Arabidopsis thaliana: one gene and its partners. The protein of the gene in region 4 interacts with the protein of the main gene of each other region in a pairwise test. Each region holds a gene or a part of one and is shown on either strand. Other genes may lie near its edges.

Region 1 (4,596 bases), on a different chromosome or scaffold from region 4:
TTTGTAATCCTTTTCTATTTCTAATTAAAAAAACTAAAATTTATAGCTAAAACCATTAAAAAAAAGTAACCAAGAGTTCCGAAACTAAAGAAAACCCAAAAAAGTTAGTAACTTCAAAAAATTTAACTAGTTTCTTTCATCAATCTGTATTTATATATGTTCTAACTTTTTTTATCAAAACCAAACCGAATCTAAACCGTAAGTCAAAATAAATTAAACCAAAATTGCATCAAATTGAAATCATGACTAAAAATTACTCCTTTTGTCCCTTTTTATTGATTTTCTAGAAACAATCACAGATTAAGTAAACATATTGATTTAATTTTTGTGATTTAATTTTTTAATAATTCTAAACTAATGATATTCAATTATTTGTCTTGAAGTTTAAAATTCATCAATAATAACTAATAAATAGTGCATAGAAACCTAAAAAATCAATCTTTTTGAAACAATTTTGTTTCTCTAAAAATCAATTAATAAAGAATAGGGGGAGTATTATTTTTGAAGTATACTTTAAAAAACACCTTTATTTTGATAAATATTAACAGAGAATGTCATTACTTATATTCATGTATTCAAATAACTTTACTATTAATTTTTATTATCCGTATAACCAAATCAATTGATTGTTTTTAACATTAACTATAAAATTTGAAATATACATATAATGTTCCAAAATTAGTAATACATATTAAAAGATTGTGTTAAGAATTAAAATAATGATTCGCAATCATCTTTGTTTGATTTTGTTTTCTATTTGTTTTGAATCATCATATAAAGTTAATAATAAACTATTTTCTACCTATATTCTGATTCAAAATTTTAGAATTAGACATATATATTACTTAAATAATAAAAAAGTGTGTTCAACGTCTCAATTTCACATGGGCTAAAATGTTTAGAAAATGATTAAGAGTCATGTTATAAATAAATCTAAATCTAAATAAACAAGAAGTTTAACTTAACAAGTATCTAAATTTAAAAGTTTGTATATGGTTTAATTCTGTTTTTAATTGAACTGTTTAATTTTACTGGATATAGTAAATTTTAAGCTTTGAAAGTTTTGAAATATTATAATTGATATATTTAAACTCAGTATAAAGTTTAAAATAAAATGAATATATATAAAAGTCTAAAATAACGCAGTACATGTTATATTTTGAGACTGGGTATATGAAAAATGAGTTTAAATCGACATTAAAAAAATTAAAAGTATCATTAACCGACATTATAATACGGTGAAATTCTCATTTTATTATTTGATTAACATCACTAATATTAAATATGTAGAATTACACTAATTTAGTTAAGATTATGTGAAAACAAAATTGTCCCGTGTTATATTGAGGGTTAAATTCTAGTTTGGTTTAATAAAAGGAAACCTGAATCAAAACTAAACAAAATTATATACTACAGAAAAAAGGGTTTGTTGCATCAACTAAATTATATCGATAAATAAATGATGTTAATTTAAATTACTTCTTCGGTTACTTTTACTTACTTGATAGCTTATCCAACTCTTAACTATAGCATGTGCTTAAGGAGAAACTAAGAACTCTTATACTATTACTTAGAAATTATTATTTTGCGAAAATTCCACTAATATCTTCGGGTAATAATTTATCTATTAACATGCCGATTTCAAATGCTTGGTATTTATTTATAATATATACAAAACAAAACAAAAAAAAATCTATAAAACCCACCCTGAAAACTCGATCACTTTATGTCCATTCCGAGAACTCTCTCCCTCATTAATTAAAATCTTTCTCAGAGCAATCTTCTCACAAGTTTCTAAGAATCTCAAAGCATGAATATAAGTAGAACAGAATTCGCAAACTGTAAAACCCTTATAAATCATAAAGAAGAAGTCGAAGAAGTCGAGAAAAAGATGGAAATAGAAATAAGGAGAGGTCCATGGACTGTGGAAGAAGACATGAAGCTCGTCAGTTACATTTCTCTTCACGGTGAAGGAAGATGGAACTCCCTCTCTCGTTCTGCTGGTAACTTCTTAAGCCTTTTGCATATATATATACAGAATATGTGATCATGCATGATATATAATATGTAATGCGTAAATCGATCGATTCAGATCAATTGAAGTCATCATAACAAATCCTTATATGCCCATATCATATCTCTAGAGTGATTGTTAAACTATCATTGATTTGAATGGTTAAAGTTTGGTATTGAAGGATTCTTTATATGTCAAACAAGTAGTCCGTTTTTGTTTTTTAAACATTTAGACTGAAACTTTTTTTTTTCTTATTAGAAATTCGTTTTGGATTTTGTGGATTTTAATATGATCATGTGAAGTTTAGTTTAGAGTTTATTTATAACTAACTGAAATTAAATGGAGTAGATATAAAAACTCGTCCACATCTTATCAATATGTTATTCAATTTCTATCACATCATATGTGAGTGATATACATATATGAATGTGATTTTTCGTAACTATGAGAATACTTTTCTTATGGCTGTGACTTCTCCATGTCGGCATAATTTAAATTCCTCTGTAGAATTGGTAAAGTAAGAAAGAACAAGTTGACATATTCATAGTTCATTATTATCATTAAAAGTGTACTTTCGTATGAAACAGTTTGGTCGGTCCAAATTTATTTATTTTTTCCTTTGGAGTTCTTTTCATATTAGCCTTTTGAGTGTGGAACTCAAACACCTTTCCCAACCATCCAATTCCATACAGCCTCATGGAATTGTTATCTTTATTGATTTGGGAAATTGTACTAGTGTCCATATACTATTGACTAGTGTACATTCCAGTTAATTCATGTTTTTATACTAATTGTATTTATATTGAAATCATTTACTATTGAGACAGGACTGAATAGAACGGGGAAAAGTTGCAGATTGCGGTGGCTAAATTATCTCCGGCCGGATATCCGCCGTGGAGACATATCCCTTCAAGAACAATTTATCATCCTTGAACTCCATTCTCGTTGGGGAAATCGGTATGAAACCTTTATTTATATCGACATAGACATAGTCATATTGTCGATACATTACTTAAAATAGAAAAAGGGACACATATCGTTGAAGAGAGCAAATTTGGAACGTCTCTATGAAATAAATAACTCGTTATTCAATATTGTATTAGTAGATAATTGACAAAATCAATTTGATGCGTATTTGAAATTTCTTGGTTGAATTGTGGTTACTATATGAAACTTGTATCATAGTTGAAATTAAGGTACACATCAACGTCTTTTTTTATCAGAGTAACACTAAAAAAACTGATTAATCTAGTACTACAATAGAACTTATAAATAATTAAACCCTCCGATTCATTATAAATAATATTTTTAGCAAGAGTCGGTTTTAACAAAAACAATTAATATACGTACAAAAAGTATATTAGAAATTTAATATATTTTTTGTATGTATAAATGATTCTAATAAAAAACGGAATGAGAGTTTAATTACGATGTTCTATAAAATTAATCGTGTTTTTAATAATGGAGTTAGTTTTGATATTTTTTCTATTGTGAAGGTGGTCAAAGATTGCTCAACATTTACCGGGAAGAACAGATAACGAGATAAAGAATTATTGGAGAACACGTGTTCAAAAGCATGCAAAACTTCTAAAATGTGACGTGAACAGCAAGCAATTCAAAGACACCATCAAACATCTCTGGATGCCTCGTCTCATCGAGAGAATCGCCGCCACTCAAAGTGTCCAATTTACCTCTAACCACTACTCGCCTGAGAACTCCAGCGTCGCCACCGCCACGTCATCAACGTCGTCGTCTGAGGCTGTGAGATCGAGTTTCTACGGTGGTGATCAGGTGGAATTTGGAACGTTGGATCATATGACAAATGGTGGTTATTGGTTCAACGGCGGAGATACGTTTGAAACTTTGTGTAGTTTTGACGAGCTCAACAAGTGGCTCATACAGTAGGCATTTCATGGGTTTATTAATGAATGTAATGTATAATAAACATAAACTAATCATTCAAAACAAAATTAAAGGTTTTCCGGGTTTTTTTCCATTTTTTTATTGGTTTAATTTTATTGTGATGTATGATTTTACAAAACAAAAAAAAAACTGCTTAATTAATAATATCAAAAACATATATATTGTTACACAGAAGCATGATTTAGATAAGACTATAAGAGCAAAGAAGAGAAAAACAACAACATGAGTTTAGCAAAAAGTTTATGTGGTTCCTGGTTCATTTAATAACTCCCATACGATCACTTATAATCTACCATATATGATCATCAATTAAGTTTTATAATATCACCGCATTATTAAAAACATTATGAGTATTTGATAACATATCCCAAAGAAATTCATTACATACTTATTTAACTAATGGGTTGAAATAGAGATTGATGCATGATGTGTATATGAAGTGAACATCAAATAATTATTTTACTCTAAATAAATTATTAATTTGGATTTGGCCCTCTCATCTAAACTCAGAGTTGAAGTGTTCATGAAATCTTGCATGCTCGAGACAATGAGACATATTGCTTAGAGCACTTAAAGATGGTATCAACTCTTAAAAATATGCAAGTAAAATTTCGTCGTCTCAAATATCATTTTTTAAAAATAAAAAAAAAACTTTAGTT
Region 2 (3,468 bases), on a different chromosome or scaffold from region 4:
ATTTATAATTTCACGCAATTAGGCCTAACAGAAAACTGAACGTATGGGACAATTAAAACATTTCATACTAATATAATATTGACTGCAACAGTTGTTATTGATACTGATTATAGTATATCTTTAGGTAATCAAAGCTTTTCAACGGACTCATGCTCACTATAATATGGAATAAACCTGTACTTTTGAGGCGGCCATAGTACGAATTGGTACGTGCACGTCAGCTCGTGTGTATATATTATGGGTTATATGTGTCTACATAATGGACTTTCATCAAATAATTTTGTTTTTAATAAACCATAGGAGTTTCAGGTTTTTGGTCTATAATCTTACCTATTTTTCGGAGTTAGTCTTATTCCAATTTAACGAATACCACAACGAAAACCGAAGACGAAGCACAAGGTAACCACCCTTTTTTCTAAGTTTTTATAAGATAACATTTTTTTTTCTTGGATTGAGTTTTTTCCTTGGTTTATATTTATTTCTCGTATAAACCATATGATACTATCTGACTGACAAGGAACCAAAACATTACATATATATTGAAAATTTGAATTAATCATATTGGTATTTATGACATCATCATTGTTAAGAGATTACAAATTGAACCCAAGAAAAACAGTAAGGGTCGAAAATTTATTATACTTTACTGAATATAATCGAAAAACCTTGGTTGATGATATGACATTATTAAAAAAAAAATCAAATGGTTAAGCAATTAAGCGAACGTATATCAATTATTAGAATTCCATATGGACTGAAATTGCTGCATTTCAAAAAACTCATCCCTATCGTGCTGACCAAAAAATTGTCCGTATAATTCTTCGTAGTCAGCAACTTCCAAATCCTGCATCCACCCCATCCTCGGCGAGTCTAATGGAGACTCATTAATCGCTTGAATCTGATCCGGAGACAATCCTACTCGAGAAAGTCCTTGACCAGACTCGAGAGCTGGTTCACTCAACCTACCTGGTTTAAACATAAGTGCTGCATCTTGTGCAGCCGCTTGAATGTGCTCCGAACTAGAGCTTTCCGGCCGAGGAAAACTGTCGACGAGTTCCGGAAAGTTGAGATTGGTCCCACGTCCTCGGAGGTGAAGAGCCGCAGCATCGTAGGCCGCTGCAGCCATCTCGGCCGTCTCGTAGCTTCCAAGCCAAATCCTTGTTTTCTTACCGGGTTCTCGGATCTCCGATACCCATTTGCCCCATTTCCTCCGACGAATGCCTCTGTAGGACAACTGGTTAACGTTGAAGCGGTAATCTCGTTGGCCAACGTAAGTGTTTTCCATAATTAATACAAGGTTATTTTAGTAGCACTATATTGTGTGTGTGTGTGTTTGTGAGTGTATATAGAACTGTGCGAATTAGTTTAGAAGTTTTGAGTTATAGAGTCAGTGGTTAAGTGAAATTGTATATATAGAGAAATAAAGAAGACAATAAATGAGGGAATAGAATTTGTGGATGGCTTGTTTGGTTTCAGGTGAAGTGAGCTTCCTACGTAGTTACTTGTGAAGTGGAAATATGCTGTCATGCATGCATGGGTCTCTATTACTTACATGGATATTGTACATTAGCAAAGCTGTCTTTAAGCGTGTACAAATAGTGTGTTGTGTGTATTTGAAAGAAAACGCTGATTGAATATTATTTTTTTGATTGAAGACAAGTTTGATATTTATATGATTTGGGTTCTAAATTTTTTTAGAAATATTTTTTTACACATCAAATATGTTTTCAGTAAAAACTTTGTACATGCCTTCCAAGAAAATTGACATGGCCTTGATAAATATATTTCATATTTGGTATATTCTGGGCCTTAGTTAGATTATAGATATTTAACTTGATCAAAAAGTTCAAAATATTTAAACTTTTCAACTAGGAAATAGATTTCATAGTTCATACTGAGATAAATTAGTGTTTCATATAAAAGATCAATTATTTTAAGTCAAAGTAGTATATTGTGTTTTGTTGTTGTAAGACCAAATGAAAAGAAAAGCAATTAGTCCTTTATATCATGTGTTGGTTAGAACTTTAGGTTCTCGTACAAAAGTCCATATATGCCATATCTCAAGAGTCTTGACAGCAAATATGATAGTAACATTATGTAACTGCCCATAGAGTCATAGACAATTAAGTTGACCAAAATAATGAATTGTTCATAACGAAGAATTGGGGAAAGAAACCCATCTAAATTAACCAAAATTTGATTTTATGAAATTCTAAAACCCGACCAGCAGAAGATCGATGCTCTGTCTCCAAATAATTTCTTGATGTGTAGTAAAACCTCATGAGCCAAATTCCAACCCTAAATAGTTAAATGGCTGCATAATGGTCACCACCGCCACTAAGGCACTAACAACCACACCGTATCGAATTGTGGAAATCCGTACGGTCCATCCGGTGGTCAAAAAAATACTTTCAGTCTTAATCTCACCGCCCATTATATATTGTTGCTTATCTACAAGATTTGGATCCTACATAAGAACTCAACAAGTATAACAAAGTTTTGCTTTCCAGTCTATTTTTTGAACTTATACGTTCCTTGGTTCAAGAACTCATGTGTGTAATTTAATATTATTTGCAAAGAAACATAATTAAGAATTGAATAGTTTAACGTATATAAACATGAATTAAGAATTGAATAGTATAACGTATATAAACATGAATTATGATATTATTTCATTCTTTTGGTCAACTTTCCTTGTCGTTGTGGGTAGTGAAAGTTATAAAAAAAACTTCTATGCAAAATAAATTAAAATAGTAAAAACTAATTGAAACCCCAGGAATTAAAATTTAATGGAAAAATATGTGCATAGAGCAAATTAACAATCATCAATAATAATGGAAAGAGAAATGTAGATGAATTTTTCGGCAAGGAGCCAAGTCTTCAAAGCGGAAGAGGATGGAAGAACAAAGATGTGATGAGATCTTTGAGCTTGCCATTGGGATTGGTGAAATTATCACCCTCCTCGTAATACAGATTGACCAATCGTACAATGTTGAAGCACCGGACCAGAATCGGACGTGACACACTTTTTATCGTCAAGAACTCTTCCATCATTATCTTGTAATTATCTCTAATCATCTTCTTAATTTCTCGAACCGCCAATTCCTTGGTAACATTATGTTGCTTAACGTAACAGTTCACCCCATTAACCACTTCTCCTCTCCTCATCTCCTCCTCGAAGCCGGCTATGTCGTTTGTAAGACGAAATATAACACTTAAAGCTCGTAACATTTTGGGTTTGGATTTGAACCACGCGTTCGTTTGATTCTCCTCACAATCTTCCATCGATATAAAGCTGTACATTGCAAAGCATCTAATCCCTGACGAGTCAAGCCCAAGCTCAATATAGTCATCAAAGGTTGGAACGTGACCTGCTCGTGCCCATTTTGATATTTCAGCGTACGCTCTCCCCATGATCTTAATCTGCAAAATTCTCAATATTAAACACAAACATTAATTTATATGGAC
Region 3 (4,914 bases), on a different chromosome or scaffold from region 4:
TCACATCTTCTGCAGAATATTCTCGTTGTCTCAAAGTACTACTCAAGGATTACCTTTAAGAGACTTGCAGAACTTTTATGCCTAACCACTGAGGTAAATATAGTTTCAAAATACTCTTAAGTGTACCAGTACATGTTTAAATCTCTTCTTACCGTTTCATTATATTTCAGGAAGCAGAGAAGCATCTATCTGAAATGGTTGTGTCCAAAGCCTTGATAGCAAAAATCGACAGACCATCAGGAATAATCTGCTTCCAGATTGTTAAAGACAGCAACGAAATCCTCAACTCGTGGGCAACAAACTTGGAGAAGCTTTTGGATCTTGTTGAAAAGAGTTGTCACCAAATTCACAAAGAAACAATGGTTCATAAAGTTGCACTAAGAGCTTGAGAACCCGGTCTAGCCACACACATCGGTGGAAAGAATCTTTCAGGCTCTCGTTCTAACATAATCATTTGAGTTTTCTTTCTCTGCTTGGTTCGAACACATTTTTTTTGTGTTCTTTAGGAGACCTTGCAAGATTATATACAAAACTCTCTTTTTTTTCCTTTCTCCATGTGGTCTTTTTAATGTTTGTTACAATGAAACGAAATTATAATGCAAAAATATAATAAATTAAGAAAAAAAGCATGAGAGGATGAAAGCAGAACAATACAAACAACCTAAACCCTATAATATTTGGAAAAATAACTCTATAACATATAATCATTTTCCTGTTTTCTATTACTCTATAGTGAAACAAATAAAATGAAGCAAGTCATCAGGAGGATGGACTATTATTGTAGTTATTACTAGTCTTGTCTGATGGCCATTGTATATCCTGGAGATAACCGGTTTCGCTAGCTGATTCTGGTGGCGGCTGAACAGCAGCCGGGGAAAACAGAGGACGAGAATGAGATGATGATGACGACGTAGATTGCATCATTGAACCTCCAGTGTGACCGAAACGCAACGGAAACGACATTTGATCGTATAAATCCAAAGATTGTTGATGATGTTGCTGAAACTGTTGTTGTTGACGAGCCATTTCAGAGTAACTCAAGTTGTATGATTGCATCAACGGCTGCGAATGAACGCTTTGATTCGAAGCAGGTCTTATGGGCAAAAGGGTAGTCGTTGAACCCGAGTTCCTTGACTGGGTCGGTCTTTGAGCAGCGGTTTGGTGCACAGGTTGTGCTTCGGTTGAAGCAGGTCTAACGAGTTTGACGTTTTCAGGGAAGTTGAGTTTGGCTTTGTTGCCTCTAAACCGAAGTGCAGCTTCGTCGTAAGCTCTTGCTGCTGATTCAGCATTGTCGAACGTACCGAGCCAAACTCTAGCTGCTTTAAATGGATCTCGAATCTCAGCCGCCCACTTTCCCCATGGTCTTTGTCTAACTCCTCTGTATCTTCGCCGAGGTTGGTCCCCACTAAACGACGACGTTTCGCTACTAGCAGTTGCCGTAGTTGTATACTCGTATGTTGGGCCCGGACCTGACATGTTACTCGAAGCTTCTCTCACTGCAAATAAACAAACAAACATGTAAAATTTCACACTTTTGTTGTCACTCGTGAATTAACACTTTCTTACATAAGAAAAAGAATCGATAATATTAATGTCTCCAATAAAGATATTATAAAGTTTTTTTTTTAAGAGCGAGTATGAGAAAGTGATGAGGCAAATGGGTGACAAAAGGAATGAACAAGTAGAAAAAAAAAGGAAGTGGAAAACGACTCTTGATGCAATTGGAGGGAGATAAATTCTTTTGGCATATCATCATCATCATCATCATTTTCTTAATTAAATATCCAACCTTTTTACAACAATTCTAAAGTATATGTCTTAAGATAATCAAGTACAGTTTCGTTATTATATTTATTTTTGTCAACACTTCGAAATATTTATTTACATCTTTACGCTAATTACTATTTTTTATTCCTCATTTTTCTTTATATTTAAATTATTATAAAGTATATCTAACTTCGCCATATTTTAGAAAACGATAAAAGAAAAGAATAAAAAAACTAAATATAAGACATGTTGCTTTGTAGATTGCGTGAGGACAACAAAAGTGCAACTGTATTTAGATTTTGTGTTACAAACATTTGATGTGACTCATACCTTGATGTATATACTACATCATAAAATTATTGAAAACATTTATCAAATAGAATGATCTTATAATTTAAATGTTTTATGTTTTGTGGATACACAACCGAAATATGTAAAATTTTATCAAAATGGTGTGTACTAATGTGGTTTAAATCCGAAACAGGGTACGTGTGTTTATAGAGGACAAAATAAAAACCCAACAAAACTAACCTTTAGAAGTAGAGCTACCACCGGAGAAATATTGATCAACCGTCAAAGTATTAGCTGCCTTAACCGCTTTGGCGCCACCTTCCTCCACCTCTCTCCTCCTTTTCTGCCCCGAGGAAGAAGACGAATTCGAAGTCCCTTCTCCGCTACCTTCACCGCCTCCTTGTTGATGCTGAGGAACATTTCCAGCAACAACGTGAGTCAAAGCAGAGACAATAGCAGACATCTCCATCTCTCTACTGAAACCTGAGATAAGAGATGAGGACGACGACGATGGAGGCGGCTGCTGCGTAGGGAAGCTATGACGGTGGTGGTCGTCTTCGGCTGCGAATAAGTAAAGCCATTGATCGATTTCAGATAACGTCCGATGATCATCGTCTCTAATAGACTCGGCTTTTTTGCCAACGTTATCTTCCTGATTTGCCACTTTTAAGACACACATACAAAACCCTCCTTCTAAATCCTCCTCCTCTGAAACTTAAAGCTTATAAACGCAGAGAAAATTAAATTTAAAAATATTCTTTTTCTTCGAGGGAAAGAAAACTCTGTAGAGAGAGAGAGAGAGAAACAAGAAACAGAGACAAAGAGGAAGAAAGAAAGACAGAGATTTTAGAAGATGTGTTTTTTAAGACAAAGGACGAGGTTTAGCTGATAGATATACAAATTTAATTTTCTTGTGTTAATTACTTTGTATGGTTTCAGCGCCGCCAAATGAAAATGAGTCGGCTTCTCTCTGTACCCGTGTGAACTGGAAACACGCAGTTTTTTTTTTAATAACTAATGTTTATATATATATATATATATATATAATATAGCAAATAGCTATTTTTATAAATTTGATCTATAACAGAAGAAAATTTGGTTTTGATGATTTAACTCAATTTGAACAAATTTTGTAAAAAATTGGGTCCTATTATATGAAACGTATCTGAATCTTTTCGCAACTTGTGAGTAATTATATATTTTTGTAAATATACTATATGCGACCTATACTCTATGAACAGTTCTGAAGAATACTTTAACAAGTCTAGTAAATTAAATAAATAAGGTAATGAATTAATTATGTATATTAGCTCTGTGTCATAAGACAACTTGCATAGTAAAAACTTTAAGAAGTTATAAACACTGTTAAAATATGGAGGCATTCAGAAACGATTATTAATTACTATATTTACGGTTCGGTGCTGAAAAAGAGGTAAAACCATTAAATGGAATATTTATAAAATAAGATTATTTTTGCATTTTGTCTAAACGGTGAGCTTGAAGGTCAAGTTGAGAGACGAGCCGTTCCGTACGAATGCGCGTGTGTTGCACGTGTCGGTTCTGGTCGACGTCAGATGCTCCGTTTGTGGACGGTGTCGGTGATGGTAAGGCTAATGCTCGTGACCGTTTGGGCCTCACCCTACGGCCCACTTGTTTCAACCTTCGTCTCTTATCTTTGACCGTTTGACCCACACCTTGTATTATTTTCTTCGTTTTCGATTTTTCAGAAGAAAATAATAGAAACGCATTGTTCAGAAGAAAATAGAAAAAAAATAGAAACGCATTGTTCAGAAGAAAATATGATTTTAGGATTTGTGATGTGTTTTTCTTTTAACTATAAGAGTTGTTTTCTTATTCGCCCGAATCGAGTCTAATAGAGGCTGCACAAAAACTTTTTGGTTAAGAAAAACATATTGTTGTCCATATTTGCAATTAAGCTCAGGATGGTTCAGATTTCAGAACTTGCAGATATGTACTCGTAGATTCTAGTCTGAACGCAGAATAATTATTATATTGATATCTTTTGGATTTTCTATTATTTTTTGGTTGAGAGTTAACTTGAGGATAATCTCGAAACGCATCGTTGGACTTTTGTTTTTAACCAATCTAAGCAATTGTGCTCACAAGTTGACGTAGTTGTTATTTTTACCTGTTATACACGAGACATTTTCGTATTGTTAAAAAGTCGCAGATTTAACGAAGCTAATAATACATAATTTGCAAAGATGGGAGAAAAAAAAACGATTGTTATTGATGTGACATTTTTCTTAGGCTGATGCTCAAGTCTCTATTAACTAATTAATTAGTCAGTGCGACAGTTTATTTTCTTAAAGAAGCTGAACAAAAATATTGTACGACAGTATAATTAATCTGGATAAACCACGACAAAAAAAAAAAAAAAACTGGATAAACCTTTTCACCGGTCATTTCCCTTTTTAGAAACTAAGATGCCCTGTTTTATACTAATCCAGTTTAATTATATTCCACTAAAACATACAGTAGCTTTTAATCACTTAGGCGATAAAAATACCTAAATATGTCTATCAAATAAAAATTAGTAGTAAAATAAAACAAATTTAGAGATCGAGTCTTCAAAGATCAATCCAAATACGGAAACATAGTGATTATTAAATAAATTTATGTTTTCACCATGCTTGTGTGTGCCTATCGCCTAACCTAATCCCTATTTAAGTTCGCATCAACGCGTCAATTAAGCATTCAATTCGGATTAGTTACGTATTATTATACGAATATGCATCCAACTTGTAAATATTAAACTTGTTTAACATGGCAAAACCGGAGAACGAGGCGTGATCAGTTTAATTTAAGTTAAGGCGTACGATAATGTCTTTTTCA
Region 4 (3,243 bases):
TTTTAACTAATGCAAATATTTATAATAAATGATGTAAAACAACCTTTTTTTTGTAGTGTCTCCAACACTACATAGAGCATTTCTATATATGCATACACTATTCTTTCAGTTTATTACTATTAATGTTGTATATCACCCGCAAGTCCAAACACACATATAAATATTGAAACTGTTGGTGGATATTTTTTCCGTATGATTCTTTTATCAAGCTTAATTATATAGACCTTACCTTGACCGAGTTTGTTTCTTATCCACATGCCAATTTAGAATATTTGTTCGTGCGGGTTTTATGAAACAAATGTTATTGATGAAAGAAATAAATGTAGCTTTAGGAGGCTAAAGTCTACGATGAGCTGTAGTCCCAAAGTTCTTTTTCGTCTGTTATAAATTCACTAGTGAATATTCTTAAGTCAGTAGGATTCTCACATGTTCTCGAAATCCTATAAAACATTAATGCTCCTGATCAGCTTATAGAAAACGAATGACAATAGTTCTTTATCTAAATCCATAAAACATAATGGTATACTTGTTTTACTATATATTATCTGCATGATCTCACTAAAAAGAGACTACGCCAAAAGGAAGTCAGCCTACATAATAACAAATCTATTCAACTTCCATAATATCATTTTTCTTGAGGCTATAATTATTTTCCATTGCATATATAGAGAGTTTTGATCCATCGTGATTCGTTAAACGTTCTATTATATCCTAAAAAACGATATGGCAATAGCTAAAACCGAACTTATAAAACGCGGTTTCAATCGGTCCATAGAAGTTAAAGGGTACCGGTGTGAACGAAGTAAGTTTATGGAGGTGAATATTATTTTGTCGGTTCTGAAATTGAATACAGTAAAATATTAATTTTAGCAATCCTAAGAGTAGCAGGCGATCGCTCATCGATCGTATTTTTTTCTAAGTTTTATTTTGTTTTTGTTAAAGCATATTTTTCTAAGTATAGAAACCATCGAAATCAATTTCAGTTTTGGGGAGAACTCATAATAAATTTCATAAATGCTATTTAATTAATGAGAGCAATTTGTATATTCTTAATTGTTTTACCTACTTTAAGCACAACCACAAGTCCACAACTCCTTAGTGAATGCTTCTTTTAAAAAATTTGGTTTTATTATTTTGTAGGTATTACATGTTCACATTCAAAATATATTTCACACTATATTAGATTAAATTTAACTAAGCTTTAATATTTCACTAGCTCCTACTAGCCTTCCAATTTTTACAATTTTACTTTGCAATTTTTACTCTCGATCCAAACAAATAAGTACTTTTTTGTACTATATTCAAAGATGAACAACTTTATATTTTTCTTGAACAAAAATGAAATTGAATAGAGAGAAACTAGCTACCCTAACTAGTCACTCGAAACCTTATAAATAACACCTTCTGTAGTTTGTTTTCCTATGAAGAATATTTTTCAACTTTATCTATTATATTATCCTTTGTTAAACTTTCCCTGAAAATTGTTAGAAAATAAACTAATTAAAATAATTCTAAGCATGACGTTTTTGTAGTTATTAATTCATGTTACATTAGACGCACGAATTTAATTATAATACACACCCCCGTAATTAAGTACATTAAAGACCCTAAAGTATATATATTAACCATTGATAAAACAATTTAGCCCTAATTAGTGTCCGTTCACACACATAATCTTTCCTTTAGCTTATATATACGCTGGTGTGTGTTTTTAAGAAGCTTCATACACTCATTTTCAAAACATTGAATACTGAGACTTGAGAGAGATCCCAACAGAAGAAGAAGAGAGAGATGAACCACCGGGACAAACAAATTGATTCCGGCTCTGGCTCTGGAGAAAACCGCCGGACTTATGACTGCGACATCTGCAAGAGAGGTTTCACGAATCCTCAAGCCCTCGGTGGTCACAATAACATCCACCGCAGGGAACGCGAAAGATACCCCTCCTCCTCTTCTTCTTCTCACTCATTTCCATTTTCTCTTCCGTTACCATCTCAGTCTCCCTCCTCCTCCACAAACTTCACAAACCCTCCTCCTTATTTTCCGACCATTGAGTCATACCTACACCAAGGGTCTCAGCCACCTATTAACCCTAGCCACAACACACAATACTTTGGATCATCATCATCATCAAGAGGAGGAGGGAGATTTGCTCAAGGGGCGTCTCATGATCTTAATTTGAGCTTAGGGCTCGGATCCATGAATGAAGATGATGACACTCACCGGAGCCCACCAGAGACCGGAGGTTCTCAACCTCAAGATGGTGATCTTGATCTTGATCTTCGACTCGGCGGTCATCGTCATCATTAAGCTTGCAGCGGTTTCCCTCACGTTCGATCCACGTAACCATATACAATATATATATATAGTTGAAAGTTAATCACCGTATAGTGCATGATGTTTATTGTGGTGTTTATATATGTTTTCAATATATATGTAGTATGATCAAAATATGTTGGACTTGGAGTCATGTTTTTATCATGATCGTATGAAGTTTGGGTTTGTATAATTCAAGACTATATTTTTCACTTAAAAATTATAGATCAAATAGGTTAATTTGAGTAATGTTTTTGTTATACCTTTTTCAAAAAGAAAAAAAAATGTTCTTGTTGTCTGAAGTTGGGTTTGTATAGTACAGGATTATTGTTCTTTTCCATAACTATATATTAGTGTAGATCTATAGATCAAGTAGTTTTGCGTAATATGTTCTAATAATTAGTTACGTTGTATGAAATTTGGGTTTGTATAATCAAAGACTATCTATCATTCTCTTGTATAATATTTTACATGAATTTACATTTCAAGTGGGTTTGTATGAATTTACATTATAAAGTAAGTTTAAACTTATATTATGAATGAATTCGAACTGCAATGGGATAAACATTATATGCGTTTTAATAATAGGTTGGTGAAGTTTATAATTTACACCATTTGAAAAGCCTTCCAAATTTAGAAACTACATTTTTGCAGACCCATGTGAGCTCATATGAATCAATCATAGCCTTGATGTTGTAAAACAAATTATGATTATAAAAATGTGATAGTATATTACATGCATAAAAAATAAAGGAGAGTAAATGAAAGTCAAATCTGGGTTTTATGAACTGAAAGTTGAAGTTTAGAAGTAGAAGTAGCGATCAAAGTATGACCAGTTAAAAGGCCCAATATCATTTGGAGGTTTGATTTTTGGGTTCGTAAATTTCAAGAGCCAGATTATGATTTGCTGGGCTTAAAAATCATGGA

Evidence for each region.
Region 1: the proteins of URO (region 4) and MYB112 interact in a two-hybrid assay, tested with the Arabidopsis thaliana proteins (one large-scale study listed by BioGRID).
Region 2: the proteins of URO (region 4) and AT1G33760 interact in a two-hybrid assay, tested with the Arabidopsis thaliana proteins (one large-scale study listed by BioGRID).
Region 3: the proteins of URO (region 4) and ABR1 interact in a two-hybrid assay, tested with the Arabidopsis thaliana proteins (one large-scale study listed by BioGRID).

What each region holds. Positions count from the first base shown.
Region 1 is NC_003070.9:17,703,592-17,708,187, reverse strand, and holds MYB112 (myb domain protein 112), read left to right. Parts: upstream 1-1,727; 5' UTR 1,728-1,810; coding exon 1,811-2,003; intron 2,004-2,841; coding exon 2,842-2,971; intron 2,972-3,510; coding exon 3,511-3,919; 3' UTR 3,920-4,056; downstream 4,057-4,596.
Region 2 is NC_003070.9:12,235,761-12,239,228, reverse strand, and holds AT1G33760 (Integrase-type DNA-binding superfamily protein), read right to left. Parts: upstream 1,683-3,468; 5' UTR 1,286-1,682; coding exon 731-1,285; 3' UTR 519-730; downstream 1-518. Other genes in the region: AT1G33750 (Terpenoid cyclases/Protein prenyltransferases superfamily protein), read right to left, coding at 2,881-3,423.
Region 3 is NC_003076.8:25,889,502-25,894,415, reverse strand, and holds ABR1 (Integrase-type DNA-binding superfamily protein), read right to left. Parts: upstream 2,968-4,914; 5' UTR 2,738-2,967; coding exon 2,299-2,737; intron 1,497-2,298; coding exon 760-1,496; 3' UTR 528-759; downstream 1-527. Other genes in the region: RPN5B (regulatory particle non-ATPase subunit 5B), read left to right, coding at 16-93, 171-389.
Region 4 is NC_003074.8:8,248,788-8,252,030, forward strand, and holds URO (C2H2 and C2HC zinc fingers superfamily protein), read left to right. Parts: upstream 1-1,731; 5' UTR 1,732-1,791; coding exon 1,792-2,310; 3' UTR 2,311-2,696; downstream 2,697-3,243.